2 linked regions of the Drosophila melanogaster genome follow. The protein of the gene in region 2 interacts with the protein of the main gene of each other region in a pairwise test. Each region holds a gene or a part of one and is shown on either strand. Other genes may lie near its edges.

Region 1 (9,593 bases), on a different chromosome or scaffold from region 2:
AGTTTAAATTTCAAAAAGAAGTTAAAAGAAGTTTTGGTAAATAGGTATTTGACCTGGAAAGCTATTATTTTATTTTGAAATCAAAATAAGAGAAATCGCTATAGTCGAGTTCCTCGATAGATGAGATAATTTGAAAGCAACGTTTTTGTTCACGATTTCTTTATTTTAGATAAACAATACCTTAGAATTACTTGCATTATTATGTTATACCTAACTGAAAGTATTTCATTAATTACATGTGTAATATGCCGTAAATAATCGTGGCAGCATCAACGAAGACTATACGCATTGTAGGGATTATTTTAACAAATAACTTGTATAGGAACAGTTTTTGAATTTTATAACGACCCCCAAAACAACGTTTTAATTCAATTTGGACACACCAAAAAATGTTAGATTATAAAATTTTAAAGTGGAATTATGACAAATCTTGTTTTTGCACCTTGATAATCTCTTTAAGTTTTGATGACGACCATAACAATCAAATAAAATTGTTCGACAGTAAATCCAATTAGTGTTCTTAAGACTGTTGTTAAAGCTATGTAAGTTTTAAATGGTACAAAAGGAAAATGTTACTGTGGCTATTGTTGCTGTTGCTGCGTCTGATGATGTCTCTTCTCTCGAGCTCGTTCGATATGCCGCTTTCGTTCTTCTTTTGTCCAATAACGACCTATTTTTACTTCAGATATTGTATCGTCTTCCGTCGTGGTAACCTCGTTGTAACGCATATTTTTCCGCAATGCAACTTGGGGTCGATTACGTACTGGCCGTTTTACTATGTACCGCGTTCCATCTGGTCGCCTTTTAACCTTCCATACCATGGGTATTTCCTCAGCACTTTCACCGTTAAGCAAAGTAGCATTTTTTTGTAAGCTTGTTGAAATATGACATCTGTTTGCAACCTTTACAAAAGTAATCAAAACTTTTATTTATAGAATATGGGCAAAAAAATATATTCAATGGAATATGAGAGAGATGGAATATGAGATACATGTATATACTAATAGATTTAATAGATTTGCAAGCCTACTTATATGGTATATTTGCCCTTTGAATTTTATTGAAAATGTACAATGTTTTTAGAATTGTTCTTTTTTTGATGCATAATTTTTCACTAAAAATCGATTTAAAACCTCCTTTCATGTGATCTCTTATTGGAATGATCTTAGAAAAAAGTTGAATAAAGTAGTAAATAGTGGTAAAAATATGTATTTTCCTGACCTGTTGATCCTTACATGTTTTAAATTTTAAACCCATAGAAAACGTTCAGTAAATGCACTTATAAGAAAATTATTAAAATATTTTCAATGGATGATACTTAATTCATTAAGATGTGTAACATTCAAATGAAATCTTAGATTTAACCGTCAACTGTTAAAATCATTGTCATCCATTCGTTTTAATCCCCTACTAATACCATTTTACCCCATATGCACATACATTAAACTTGTACTTACCTCTTGACTACTAACAAAGTGGTAACTACTCAAATTTGGGGCGTTAAACTGTGGACAATGACTATAGGAATCATCAGTTGGTTTAACTCTTAGTATTTCAATGTCGCTTTTAAGTGGATGAATTTCATTTTCAGACCCAACGTTGGTATACCGCTCTGAAGTGGAATAATGTTAATGGTAATTAAATGAAGTTCACGATATATCGTTTTCAGTTTGTAAATCTTATAATAAGACGTTCAGTTAAATGTTACACAAATTTGAAAATGTTAATTGCTTCAGAATTTTTTTTATCAAGGCAAAAATGATAAATCGTTTTATACCCGTGGAGAAAAGTATCTAACAGGTAGAAGAAAGCGTTTCAACCATATAAAGTATATACATATATTCTTGATCAGTGTCAATAGGCGAGTCGTTCTGGACATGAACGTCTATGCACGCCCACACTTTTGAAAAATTTTAAAATTTTTTCTTATTGTATTCCCCCATATTTATTGATATCCCAGACAAATTATGAAATTTCGCGTTCGCATTTACACTAGCTGAGTAACGGGTATCTGATAGTCGGGGAACTTGACTATAGCATTCTCTAAAATGGCGTTAAAATGGGCGGGTCCAAATTTTTTGACATATCGATAGAGAGAATCACTGCATGCTGTCCCAACTTTATAACTTTTATAGCTTCCGAGATCTCGACGTTTTTAAGGACACAGGGGCATGGCCAGACAGACTCGTCTAGTAATCAATAATATATATTTACGTCTTATTGTTTGAACGTTGGTACTGGTTCACTTTCAGAATCTTATGGAATGGCCTCATAGGTGTGCGCGCAATCACATTGCAGATTTACTTATTTTTGGCTTAAAGATTGATTGAAGCTTTTTCTATAATCCAAGTTTGCATTCGGTCGAAGCTTTATTTTACTACACGACTTGTTAGATTGCTCAATGATATTTTTCGCCAATAAAGATATTTTAACATTTTAGTCAGATGAGTTTTTTTGGTGGTATATGATAGCATTTGTCAGATTGAATAGCGGACGTAAGTTAAGAAAATCTTATCAAGTTCATCCACTACATTTGTATAGTCATCTGGCAAAAATGTATTAGCATACTCAAAATGTATATCTTCGACATCATCGTCGTCCTATAAAAATTTGTTAAACCATTTACACCTTTGAATTTTATACTTTGATTAATAAAAATGGTTTCTATCGATTCTCAATGGTTAACACAACTGTAGGCACTTATTTTCGATAGATAAATAATATTTTGTCTACAATTCCTCAACCTACACTGCGTCTCTTTTTGTTGAATCCAATCGGAAAAATATTTATCATTAACATATTGACTTTTCCAGTTAAAATATAAGCCTTTAGTTTCAACTTTCTAGCTTTTATATCTACCGACATCTCGACATCCGTAAGGACAGAGGGACATGACCAGATAGACTCGTCTAGTAATCAAGAATTTATACTTTACAGGGTTTGAAATTTTCTTCAACCGTTTACTAGCTTTTTAACGAGCCTAGTACCATTTAATTCAAAGTTTAAAAAGTAAAAGGTGAAGAGCTTTTAAAGTGGAGCACGTCTGATATGTCAGACGCTACGTACTATCTGCAACTAAAATATAATTGTTATGCATACCGCTGACATACGCTGTAGGCAGATTGGAAGAGCAGAGACCAATACGGCCAGACTTGCCGAATGGTAATAGCAACATAGTGCTTACACCTGTGGCATCCAAATGATCATTGGGGCTATCAATAACAGTACTATCTAGCTTGCGACCAGTGGCGATGGCTTCATCAGGATTTGTAGTATTTTGATGGGGGGAGGCGCTATTATTAGAATCACCAGTGTTGTAGGCACTTGAGGAGTTATCGACCTCTTCGCCAGGAGCCGCGGCGTTCCCTGTAACAACATTATTTTGTCCATAAGAGCTGTATGCCACTCCACTACTGCTGGATGCGCTTGTGTTGGTTAAGGTGCTACGCAATGTAAAAACACGACTACAAGTAGGTTGCTGTACTAATTTCAACGGCGGGGGTCGACCAACTAGAGTTTGTCTAGTTTTCTGGTATTGTGGCTTCAAGCCCAACCACTGGGCGACTCTTTGAGTTTGTTGTTGCATTGTTCTTTCTAATGATTCGGCCGGTCTCGATGCTATTGGAGATGAACAACCTATTGACGTCTTGTCGTTTGAACGTTGGTACGGTGAACAATACACTGGTTCACTTTCAGAATCTTCTGGAATGGTTTCGTAAATGTGCTCGCTTTCATCGTACTCATATTGCAGATGAACTTCTTCTTGGCTTAAAGGTAGATTGAATTTTTTTTTATAATCCAAGTTTGCATTCGGTCGAAGCTTTATTTTACTACAGGACTTGGTAGATTGCTCAATGATATTTTTCGCCAAAGAAGATATTTTAACGTTTGAATCAGATGAGTTCTTTTCTGGTATGTGATAGCATTCGTCAGATTGCATGGCGGATTTATTGGATAGTTCTTCCAAAGACTTGACGTGAGTTAACAAAACCTTATCCAATTTATCCACTACATTTGTATAGTCATCTGGCAGAAATGTATTAGCATACTCAAAATGTATATCTTCGTCATCATCGTCTTCCTATAAAAAATTTGTTCCAAAATATTGCAGCTAGTTAAAATATTTACAGTTTTAAACTTTATACTTTGATTAATAAAAATGGTTTTATCGGTTATCAATGGGTCACACAACTGTAGGCACTTATTTTGGATAAATAAATAATATTTTTCTACAAATTCTCAACTCCCACTGCGGTCTGTTTTAAGAATACAATCACAAAAATATTTACCATTAACATTATTGACTTTTCAAATATTATACATATCGCTATGGACTTTATAGTCCCAACACCCATCTCATCTATATGGAATGTGGGTATTAATAGTATTACTAACCTGGTTAAGCACATATTTTATAAAACGAGTTTGAGGATTCATGGAAAATCGTTAGTAAGCGTATGCGAATTTGACCGTAAGGTAAATATATATATAAAGATATACTCCAAACAAAACCATGATTTTAAGTTACGAGATTGAAGGCGGTTACTCTGAGGCAACAAGTCGAAATCGGATCTAAATTAAAAACCAGAACGAACAATATTTTTTTTAATTTAATGGTGCGCATTTTTTAGCGTATTAAATTCTACAGTGGTATAACCCCTTACTATAGTTATGAACTAAGTGTTTATTTGGGAATTTTTTTTTGGTATTAGAAATTTCGACTTACAGGGTATAGAATTCGACTAACTAGTAGCGTTACTGATGTACTACTCCTGGCTATCTGAGTTTCTAACTCCTCCTGGTTTTTAACATCCAAGCCGTTAATACGAAGAATCTGATCCCCCTGTCGCAGGCGCCCATCACGATAGGCTATACTTTCCGGTTGTACACCACTGATGAACACATCCTCACTATGTTCTAAAACGTTACCTAGTATGTCACCTTTATTCGTGTCGGTACTTGATTGCTGAATTCCGGAGGAGGTAACAATGAGCCCGATTTGATTGCTGCTTGACTGTTCAACACCTTTAACAAGCGTTACTTCCTGTTGATTATAAAAAAATACTATTATTTTGAATCCCAACACACATATCTAAGCAACTGACAGTTTTAGGATCTGTTATAAATACATCGGTTTCAATAATATTTATGTAGACGGCGAGAGTAAATAAACCACTGGCGTACAAAAGGCAATCACCTTATACCTTCCAAAAATTTTTATTTATTTTATTTGATATTTTTTGCTTTCTCGAAATTTGTTTAAATATCATTGTGTGCAAATACTTAGCAAGTGACAGTGTACACACAACTCCAAAAAATTTTAATAATAAACTTTGTGAATATTAATAATAACTGTTATGCCCGTCCGACCGCTCGATCATTCAAAGTCTACAGATGGCTTGTGTTGGTATATAGTCTCTCCTCAACGAATATAACAAAACTGCAACATACATATGTATGTACATATGGAGAATATGAGCATTTAAAATTTCTGCACTTCGCAAGGGCAAGGGTTGAATGTGGGCCCGCAGCCCAAGCAAACGCTACACAAATGCTCATACAAACGCAATTTGTATTTGCATTAAATAAGCATAGAATGGGTCTTAAGTGTATAGAGAAGTCGCCATCGCACATCGCGAAGACAGACCAGAACAGTTTTGTGGTACTGCTGTAGTAATGTATGGTAAATACCTCAATGTCGATTTCCGGTTCCAGGCATTGTTCGAACAAATGGTGTTCATGCTCTATGAAGTTGTCGGTAATTGTGTTAACCAAATCGTTATCCTTTAAAACGTCCGTACCAACGACAGATTGGGTTTGAGTTTCCTTCGATGCGGCTTGTAGACTTCCCAAACGATCCTCATGACTTCTAGCCCGAAGAGTTAAAACCACAGGAGTTTTCGTCTCGATTTCTTTCAACGATGTTGAAGATGGGCAATTTATTTGTTGAGAGGCACTGGCAGCTGTGATCGTCCCTTCTGCTGACTTGTCAGTTAGGACAGAAAGTTCTCCGGGATTGTCCACTTTTGATATTTTGGCATTGGAGCCATGTTTTAATTCTAAATCTAATGCATTGTGTTTCTGTCTGCGTATTTCTACGACAAGGGTTTCTTTAGATTGAAGGAACTTTTGAACCGCTTCATACCTCGACAAATGACTAATATCGTAACCGTTTATCTGAAACAGAATATGTGCATTTTGAAACGCTAAAAAACAGATTTCACACGAATGGAACTATTTATGGTAAAACGAGAACTCGGTTCTTAGTCCTACTTTATATTGAACTTACTTTTAACACAACATATTCGTACTCCACGTCGGCAATACTCATAGTGATGCTTAAAATCCAAAACTCATATTTATTTTCATTTAATTGTATACATATTTTTTCGAAAGTGTGGCCAAACCTTTTGTTTTCATTTATATCATTTACGTATTCTTTTTGATAAAAATTGTAATCGATTCTCTTAAGTAATCGTTTAATAACTCGCAACGGAATGGAAACCGTTAACGGATTGAGAAATCATAGCAATTAAAATTATCCGCTCGTATAAACGCATATTTTCAGACTGTACCAATTTTCAATTCATATTGTTGAATATAAAGTTGAAGTTGATGTAATGAAATTGATAATATAATATAATATTTCAATGGCTTAGGCATTGATAACCACGAAAAGCGGAGGTGCCCCTTGACTAAAAAGAGTTGCTATAGAATGGTTTTTGTAACCACTATTGTTTGATACGCACCTGTCATTGAAGTTCTTGTCGTTTCGTATCAATTTTGTGCTATGTAAATGAAATGGAAATGGCCTTAGTGACTTAACTGTGTGAACACAATATAATAATTTATTTCCGATACTTTTATCTTGATCTATCGATGGATGCGTATTTCTTAAAGCATACACATATACAATTATATAGAGCTTAAATAGCCGGATCAATTCGTATTTAAGGTTGTATGATGGTTAAAACGGGAAATCGCAGTAATTTTTATTATTTAAATAGTAAATTTAAACTTCAGTAAAAATATCCTAAATAATGTGAAGTGTCAAGAGCCAGGTGGACATAGCCATATCCGTACGCCCGTTTCTCACTAAATCTTTCTAAAAGCCTTTCTGTTGCCGATACTATGCATACTACATGTATGGCAGAAAGACCTCGACAAAGGGGAACATACATACATATCTTCTTTTTTGTTAGAAAGTGTTTTATCTCGGTATTGAACAGTTTTCGACCATATGCCTTGGAAAAGTCAAATTTTTTCTGTTCGTGATCATAAATAGATATTATTCAGTATAAGCATATAAAAATCGGCTTGCCGATTTTTGTTTATTTCCTATATTATACCCATTACTTGTAAAGTAAAATCGTATATGTATTAGATTCGCTGCAATGTATGTAATTGGTAGAAGAAACCGTCTCCGATCATAGAAAGTATATGTATGTAATAGGAACGCATCGATCCCATTTTATACTCACATGTTTCCAAATGTTTACACGCTTGTTCTAACGACCACGAACCGCCCAAAAACTGCCAAAAACAATTTTAACCAAATACCTACAAATCGTTCAAAACTGTAACGCCCATATCAATTTAAACACACATAAACCCTATGTAGTATATACATACATATGTATGTGTCTAGATTAGAAAGAAACACCCATCCGAGTTGATACTTCCGTCTGCCCCTATGAATGTTGTAATGTCGGGAAGCACTCCTCTGGCTACCAAAAATTAGTAATGTAAATAAAGGAGAGGTGGGCTAATTTGATTCTAAGGTTATATATTTCTTTTTTATTGCATTTGTTTTCGGTTTGGACATCATATAGTGTCCAAATCCCGAAGTTCATTAACTAGTCTCGGAAACCTTTTTGTTCACCTGTTATGTTCTTTTTTAATTTTTAATAACCCCCTTACTTTACGAGTGAAGAGTATAAAAGAATTATAAATACTTTTTCAAGAATTCAGGTTAATATAATTATTCGATTTTATGATAGAATCTAACGTTCCGCTAACCATTTAATACAGCAAACCATATTTATTTTCAGATCAAAAATGACAACACACGATGAGGCTCAGTCATACTTCTCACGTCTTAATTCAATTTCCGAAAAAATTACCTGCGATCTCAATAAAGTTAAATCTACATACAACCAAGACGCTTGGCTTAAATTGACTTTAAACGAACAGGAAAAAATATTGAATAACCAATTAATAGATCCTGTTATATTTTCTAAGTACTGTCATAAGACTAAAGAAAACTATGCGGCACAGGATCCGTACGAAAATACTGAAGTTAGTAAAAATGATTACCGTAAATTTTGTTTCAGAGACATTGTATATTTATATAACGGCCAAGATTTACACACATATAATTATCAAAACGTTGGTTTAAAAATATTACGCGATGAAAACACCGGAGATTTTCAAGATGAACATTCGTTTCCATTTTCTTATCGAACCAAATCACAAATTAACATAGTATTAAAAGAATTTGATGATATCTGTCTTGTTGAAACTCCATTAGGCGTAAAAAAGGCCATTCATTTAAAATTGAAGACAAAAGATTCAACCAATAAAAAAATACCAATTCTCCACCTTAATTCTAATGATAAAACCGGCGTTAACACAACGGAAAGAAAGATTTCCATTCATGAAAACTTCTCAAAAACCCAAACTGTTTATATTGATGAATGTATTGAATCTAATGAGAAAATGCAACTGCTCGTTAAATGTGGATCGAAAAACAGTGTGTTAAACGACTTGTCTGATTATGAAAACGAATTTAAAGATGCACGTCAAGACGAAAATACAAAACTGTTATCCCCTGAACTAAAAATGCCTAAGGGTTTCGATTTTCTTAGCAATTGGTAAAACCTATTTAAATCTCATAGATAGTCGAAGGAGAGCCGATATTTTAGAACATAATTTCATTTGATTTCAAGGCAAAACACCAAAACATACACATTAATATTAATCGGTCGTAAGTCCAAACTTTATACATTACATTATTAAGGATTCTTTTTTAACATAGACTTAATAAAATAAGTTATGAATTTAATGGATTGCCCAAACCTGTTTCAATTCTCACTTCAATAAGGCATTCAAGCTTTAAAATTTATTAATGCATATGTTATCTCACTGTATTGTTTTAATCCCTTAAATTTCATTTGAATTGTTAGAAATGGTCGAGAGTTATATGAGTTGGAACTTGTTTGAAACAGCTCTGTTTTGAATTAATTTAAATTATATCAGCTAATTTATTTTAATCAATTAATCCTTCTGTTGTGTACCCTCTATCTGACCTCTTCGATGTGAACGGGTCACAGCACTTATTTTAGGCAGTTGTGTAAACTGGGTATTACCTAAGATTGATTAATATCGATTAGTTTAAGAAAATATCGGACATCTACCTAGAAGAGTCTGTCGTGATCCAGGCGAAGTGCGAGTGAGAGCATCGTATAGTTACTTTTTATTTAAATTGCGTGTGTTAAAATGAATTAGCACGAGTAGTGAATGTTTTTGTGTGCGTAATCTTTCGAAAACAAGCGCTTTGTCATTAAAACGAAAAGATTGCCAACAGCCCACCA
Region 2 (7,687 bases):
TCCATATCTTTTTTTTTTTTGTTTTTGCCATGCGATTTTCTTTGTTCTAGTCGGTGATTTGCGGAAAATGTGGGAGTGGGTGGCTTTTCGATGGTTTTCGAACGCTTGTGCATATCAATCGCAATGCGATCGACCTTTTTCTCTGTCAGTATTTTTTAGGAGACACACTCTAAAAAATATAACATAACATTACATGTACTCCCGTATTTTAATACTTAACCTTAATTTATTGCTGGTTTTTGGCTTTTTTTCCATATTTTTTAGAGAGCATCACTATGCTCATTCTTTTTTTTTGATTCGCCCCTCGTTTTCTCCTCATGCCGCTCCCCTCCTTGTAAATCCTCTTTCTTTTCGTGACATGGCGACGTCCGTTTGCTGTTTGTTCAGTTCGTGACTGGTCGCATTTAGGGGGCGGAATGGGAGGGGCAAGTGGGCGTGGCGGGGCAACCACTTGACTCCCAAAACTTGGGAGCCGCGTTCTTCGTTGTTGTCAGAATCCAAATCATTTTTCGCAATAAATAAATAGTAATTTAAGGTTAGGAGGAATCAAAATTATCATAAAGCTTAGAATGCACAGATATCGAAGATATATTCAAAAACAAAGTATTTAACAATATTTTCACAAATTTTGTAAAATTTGTAATTTTTTTTTTTTTTTTCAGCCACTATTCTCTTGACCGCAGCTGTACACCCCGGCCCCCAAAAATATCGCCTGCCAAAAGTTTATGGCGCGTCGCGAAGTTCGTCGCGCTTTTCTTGCCTTTCATGATTTTCTTGCTTTTATTGTTGATTTTGTTGTGGCCATCGACCTGCCACCCCCACTGCCGCCCCATTTAGGTGGGCGGTGCTGTTTCTGCAGTGTGGGCGTGGCAGTTAGCTGCGGCTTATCACGGCCTGTCCAACATTTTCTTACCGCTACTTGTTTGTTTTCGGTCGAGTAGTCGTTTTTTTTTTGCAATCCCCTCACCAAAAGTCCGAATATTTTGGTACCTGGCCAGATTTAAAATATTTATTTTTCCTTTAAAACCGACATCTAAAGTAATATCTAAAGTAATAGTGACTGTGGCTTGGATTTGAACAATTATTCGTTAAATGGGGTTCATTTGATTTCAGAAAGAGTATTCAAGAACATTGTTTTAAAACTGTTGTGCTCCTGCTTGTTTTTCGTTGCTACTGCGATTTTTTGATAACTGACATTTGTTGGCAAAGGTGGAAGGAAGGAGGTGGGTTAAGTGGAGATGAGGACAGGACGCCAAGTGAAGCTAGAGGGGATGCAAAAAGGAAGCAGAGGAACCTGAGCAGTTACAGAAGCCAAAGGTAAAGGTAATGTTAAGGCAAAGCCAAAGGTAACGAGCGCGGCTGAATGAGATGACAGATTAGGGATCACAATGTGCTGTGGGTGGATCCCCAGCTTGGCTCTTATCCTCTATTCCTTATACCCAAGACATTCTCCTTTTCCTTGTGTTCTTTTGGGGTCTTGAATGTAAATAACTTGTTGCTTGCCAAAAAGTGTATTATAAATATCTTATTCCTCGAGAGTAGTTATGTAAGTGTTTTTGCTTCAATATCCTTTTTATTCCATTCCTATTATGTCCTCATCCCTTTTGCTCTTACTAAATTTGGGGCAAAGCAGTTTTCAAGGCCGTCAAAGATCAACTGATTTCGATAACTTTTCGATAGCGCAGAACAAGTGAAAAGTGACACGCACACGCAAAAACAAAAAGCAAGCACTTCACAGCTTAACACCCTAATGTGCAATATTTTTGACTACCCCACATCCACGCACACAGCAAACGGCGCTCTTTAACCCACCACAGCCCCCTTATTTTGTGTCGAACATCTTCTTCTTCCTATCGAAGTGTGAGTGAGAGGGAAGACCGTAAGGAGTGAATGAGAGCGGGAGCCTCCTCCCCGACCTTTATAATGCGTTCTCTTTTACTCTCACTTATTTTATGCATTTTTTTTATTTTATCCAGTTTTGTCTTTTCTTGTTGTTTGTTTAGATCTTTGGCATTTTTGCAATTTGAATCCTATATTATTTCTTATGGTTTTTATTGGTTTTTGTATTGGTTTATTTTTACGATAAGTGTCTTGCTATAGATTTATCTAAATCGAAAGCTTATTAAAATTGCATTTGTTAAAGAAAAAGAAAAAGATATAATATTTTGCACAATTTTAAATGTTTTTTTCTACTAATTTTTTGTTACTTGCAATTTATCTAACACTTTTTCTTTGCTTTTTTTTCTTCGCCTCCGTTTTTTTTTCTTGCTGTCTCCAGTGCGTTAAAACGCCAAAGGGGCGTCCCTCTCCAGCTAACGCCCCCACCACCCCCCGCCACTAGTGCTCTCCCTTTCGCACTGCTAACGACAAGTGACAAACACAAGTTGCAGAAGAGGCAGCCGAACAAAAACAACAACTAAAAATAAAAAAGAAGGAAAGAAAAAAGTTTTTGCGACCAACAGTTGACAGTCGAAAAGCATTTGACATTTTACCTTGGCACGCACACAAGCACCGCCAAGTGCGAAAGGGACAAAACGCGGGCAAATGTCACTTTGAAAAATGCCATTGGCCCGGCCAGCGAGTGTGAGCGAGAGGGCGCGACGGCCGGAGAGCGTGAGAGCGAGAGAGCGCCATTTTGCGCATCTCTCAATGAAGCAACAATAAAAAAACCAGTTGCTTAGCAACGCCCCCTCTAACCGCAAAAAAGAGAGCTGGAGAGCAGGAGAGCCAGTGTTGCAACAACAATGGGCAAAATGGAAGGGCAACAACAGCAACAAAAACCAAAAATATCCTTACAGGAACAACGCCAGCACCAATCTTGAGAAAAGGATCAAAAGCCCAAGATCAACAGAAGAATGTGTGTAGAATTTAAAAAAAAAGTGAATTTTTGGATTTTTAAAATCTTATGAATCTAACAAGCATCTAGTAAGGCTAACTAAATATTTAGTTATCATGCTAAATATATCAAAATTTTCAAAGAACTTATATTGTGTATTATCGAACAATCACCTAAATTAAATCCTAAAAAAGGAAAAAAAATTAAGATTTCTTGATATTTTTTTCCAATTGTTATGAAATTGTATATCCTTTTCCAAAATATTTTTAATAATAATCTAGATATGCATACCAAATATTCTAGTCATATTTTTTCCATTTTTTTAGAAAACGTTTTGAAAAACAATTTTTTTATTTAAGAATAATATGATTTCTTCATGCCCAACACGAGAGAGCCAGGAGAAGCGACGGAAGCGAGAGCGAGAGAGCCTGCGACTCCATTGCAGCGCCGCCAGCAGCGCAGTCGGCGTCGCAGCAGCCCCAGCTCAACATTCGCTGCATCTCGCTCTGGCGCAGGCGAAATATGCGAGCACTGCTTGCCGCATTCGGTAGCACGAGTGCGAGCGATGCGCCTGCTAGCATCTCGCTCGCACCCAGGCGCGCCATTCGTCGCCGCTTCGGCTCGCCGTTCGTGTGTGTGCGTGTGCGCTCGGCTGGCAGCTATCGGTAATCGGGCCGTCCGCTTTGCCGTCGCGTTTGCCGTTTTCCGTTTTCAGTTTTTGTTTGACGTTCGCGTGAAGCGCCCGCAAAACGCAAAGCGCACGAGGCAACGCTCGAAAAAGGAGCCAACGCAGCCGTTTACCGTTAGTCAGCTGTTTACCGTTCCGCCGCGAGATCGAAAACCGAGAATTTTTGCCGTTGTTCAAATTTTTTTGCAAGTGAGAATCTTGAACAACAAGAAGAATATACAACACATAAATACAACAAAACCAAGGAATCGCCGAAAAGCCGATAGTGCAAAGTGTTTAAAAAGAAAAGAATCAATTTCATATACAACAACTAAAGAAATACTGGAATATAAGGCATAATAGAAGCGGAGGAAGTTTCTTCAACTCAAAGAGGAGCGGAATTTCGCGCTTTGTTTTTGTTTTGCCAAATTTGCCGCCGGCACACACGTGCTATCCCCCTCTTGCTCGCACCTTGCCACCCAGTCTTTATGTGCGTTAACCGTTAAGTGTGCAGTTGGGGCCCGCTCCTATCTTTCTCTCCCTCTCTCTCTCGCTTCCGCACCCGCACACACACACATATATCCACACCCACGCGCGCCTCGTTCACATACGCACACACACGCGGGACTTAACCCATTGACGGCCCCCCCAAAAAAGCAGTCACTCTTAACCCCCCCGAAAAAAAGAAAAACTCCATCCCCCCGGCATCAAGATATTCGACAACAAAATTCTCACCGAGGCCTCAAAAGCGCCCCTGAGGGCCGTCGCACTGGCGTCATATCTGGGCGACGGGTTCGCCGCCCTCGGTAGCCGCGCCCCCCCGCCCAAGGACCATCTGATGGCGTTCGGGGCGGTACTACACACCAGCCAGCACAATATCGGTAAGTGATCGTTTTGGGGAATTTAGGCATTAAGCGGTTAAGGGTCCAGGAAAACATAGAAAATCTGGGGGGTTTGCAGTGAGAATCCCAAACAGGCAAGTTCTTAAGGTTAGTCACATATAGGATACTGCAATCGAAATCATTTCATCCAAGAATCAGCACTAAATCTTTGAGTTGTGCTTGTAGTTCTATAGAATAATATCATTGGGAAGTCAAGGATGAAACATTTTACAGATCGAAAATAGAAGTTGTTTACATCTAATCTAGATTAAGTAATATTCATGATGTCCTCTATCGAAATAGAATGAAAACACCTGTTTGTAGGCTTCGTATAATATTTAAATTGTTTATAAAATCTGTAGACGAGTGATCAATGACACCAATGACACATTTCAAAAATACTTTTAAAAGATGGCAAAGAAGTGAATTTTCGAAAAATGTACTGACAAAAAAGTGGAATCTATTAAAAATGGCTTGATCGCTATGCCGACGGGATGTGGTCTTAGATTTTCAACTGGTGGTAGAAAGACATAAGAAAAGTAGGGTCGAGTGCGGTCGAAAGTCCTTAAAAGGAAGTCAACCCCTTGAAGGATCGGCGAAATGCGATCCCTAGGATGGTGGGTTAATACAATACCGCTTGCCCGCAATGGGTTAAGATGGCCAAGGAGTTTTTAATGGCGACGGCTGGGCAGCAGCAAAGTTTTTGCACTTTTGAACTTGCTTCCCGTTTTTAGGGGACCGCCGGCGAGGAGGAGAGGGGCGTCTAATGCCCCGTCGTCCATCTGCCGTCTCTTTTTCGCATTACCATTTTGTATGCTTTTGAAGTTCTTGTTCATCTGTTTTTGTTTCGGTTTTGTTTTTCCTCCTCTTGTTTTCCCGTTCGTTTTTGGACTGAAAAACTTTTGCGCAGTTGTCAAAGTTTTTCAGCTTCTTCTTCTGCCGTTCTTCCTCTACCCCATCTCATTTTTTTTGGCTTTTGTTTTATTTCATTTGCTCTCTGTCAAATTTTCACTTTTGCTGACTGTTTAATGTCAGGAACAAAAAAAAAAAAAAAAAAAAAAAATAGTAAAAAGGGAGCAAAAAGTTCAGAAATGAAGGCTCCCCTCTAGTTTTGTATTTTGTGATTAGTTGGTGAGGAATATTTCGTTTATATGTATGTATGTAGCTCCCCATCAATTTGAATAACTATAAAAAACATTTATAAACTACAAAATTAAGGATCTGCAGAGATTTAGAGACCGAACACTCTTTTCGAGTATATTTTGGATTCTTATCAAAAGAAATGAAATGAGAAATGATTTAAGTACATATTAGTAAAAATGTAGTAAGGTATTTTATACCACAAAAAATTTTTCAAAAATATTCTAAAATCCTCAATAGCTTCGTTTTCGAACCAGTGAGGTTCGATGGAAATTGCAACTGCAAATTCTCCATTTAACTTGTTGACATTGGACATACAGCGGCCGACACCTTACTTCCCCCATAAATTGGCTAGAGAACTGTTGGGGTTTTTGGGCTTGGGGCCTGCAGCTCCGGGGGCGGTTCAAGTCAAAAGCTGTCGACATTTGACTGGAAAATGGATGTTCAGGAAGCCGTAGACCCGCACAGTGGGCCACCTTACGACGGCGGACTGATGCCAAGTGGAGTCGTAAAGCTGCCAAGCTTTCTTCTTCCTGCTTCTACTGTTTCTCGGTTGGATTTTTTTGTTTTTGTTTTATTTCTCGCTCATAGACATACCCATTAGCTAATGACTAAGTGTTGGCAGTTATGAACTTAACTTGCATTTAGTTGGGGAAAACTACAAAGTAAAGTACCACTGAATATAACTCGGCTTAATGAAGATAACTTTTCCGCGCAGTAGCTGTATCTTTTTTCGAAAGTTCGTAAAGTAATTTGGAATCAGGAAAGATATCCAATTTTTTATGGTATAGTTAAGGTTTTGAAATGAGATGGAAAAAATGTATTGGAAATACTTAAGATAGGATACCAATTTAGGTCGTTGAATCTTTGGTAATGTGTTTATTCTTAAGGAATTTAGTTTTCAAAACTTCAATAGAATAGGGTAACCCCTCGTCGTTCAATTACCAATATCATCGGCCATTTCTCTGGTCGACTGCTCATTTTTCTTCGCATATATCTTGGTGGCAGCATCTTTTCAATTTTTATGTTGCTGCTAGCGAACACGGCAGCAACATGCAGCAACAGCAACGTGCAGCAACAGCAACGTGCAACAGCAGCAACGTGCAACAGCAGCAGCAGCAGCAACAAAAGCTCAGACCGGCAACGCCTTCGACAAAAGTTTGCGCTGCTGTTCATCAACATTTATGACTGGCCACAAAGGAAGATCATTACGATCCCGAAGATTACGATTATGGGGTGTAGTAGGCTCATGCATACATATGTATATACTCGAATGTATGCAGGCAGGATGGGATCGTGGGGTCTGTGGCTCCTCTGTTTCTGTGCAACATTATTTCCGTGGAAGCTTTTGTCCAAGGAAATGTGATTTTTCTAGCCGTTTTTAGACCTGCGCTGTTGGACATTTACGACGACAGCAACGTGGACTCAACTGCAGCTTCAACTTGTCCATCAACGGCTCTATGGATCCTTTCGTTGATTTATGGGGCAAGAAGCAAGAAGCGTAGACACGGCAGCCGTGCTTATGCAGCTGCCGCATTTAGCAACTTCAAACTGCAAGTCGACAGTGAGGGGTTAAGGTCTAGTTCCAGGGCGTGGCACGGCCCATAAATTGCCATGCATAATGAGGCGTTGAGACCCTCTCTTCTTGTCAATATATTGTGCGATTTTCACTGCCTTCTCCGGTGGTCGGTCGCCAAACTATCGCTGGCTGGAACAAAGAAACACACACACACACACACACAAAATTGGTAATTGGAAACCCGTTTCTCGATCAACGCCACTTTCAAATTAAAAGTCATTACAATAAAGTCGCTCGATCCAAGACGCAGATTGGCGGAAGTCAGCCGAAGAGTCTAATAAAACAAAATCGAGGCGGTTTTAGAACTTTGTAGAACAGCAAACTAAATTATACATCTTTTCTTAGCGTGCCTTCAGTTTTTATATGAAGAAATCCATTATTACAAATCTAAAATACTTTTATGTTTTTAATTTGTTTACGTAGTTTAGGCTTAAACTGATAACCTGCCATTGTTGAGAAATTGCAATGCCTTTATTTGAATATGGACAATATGAAATCCTTTACCATAGTCCATTTGATCGCCCCCTCTCGCTCTTGTCACCGCTCTCCATCTCTGTCTGACGCCTGTCGCCGTCTCTGTCTCC

What was found. The genes of interacting proteins can lie anywhere in the genome.
Region 1: the proteins of Lim1 (region 2) and Slip1 interact in a two-hybrid assay, tested with the Drosophila melanogaster proteins (one large-scale study listed by BioGRID).

What each region holds. Positions count from the first base shown.
Region 1 is NC_004353.4:660,439-670,031, reverse strand, and holds Slip1 (SLo interacting protein 1), read right to left. Parts: upstream 6,412-9,593; 5' UTR 6,332-6,411; coding exon 6,290-6,331; intron 6,178-6,289; coding exon 5,692-6,177; intron 5,045-5,691; coding exon 4,727-5,044; intron 4,082-4,726; coding exon 3,100-4,081; intron 1,613-3,099; coding exon 1,458-1,612; intron 903-1,457; coding exon 582-902; 3' UTR 148-581; downstream 1-147. Other genes in the region: CG46466 (uncharacterized protein), read left to right, coding at 8,059-8,877. UniProt on the Drosophila melanogaster protein: May selectively reduce calcium-activated potassium channel (Slo) currents by reducing the number of Slo channels in the plasma membrane.
Region 2 is NC_004354.4:8,801,661-8,809,347, reverse strand, and holds the start of Lim1 (LIM homeobox 1), read left to right. Parts: upstream 1-3,543; 5' UTR 3,544-4,341; coding exon 4,342-4,384; intron 4,385-7,687.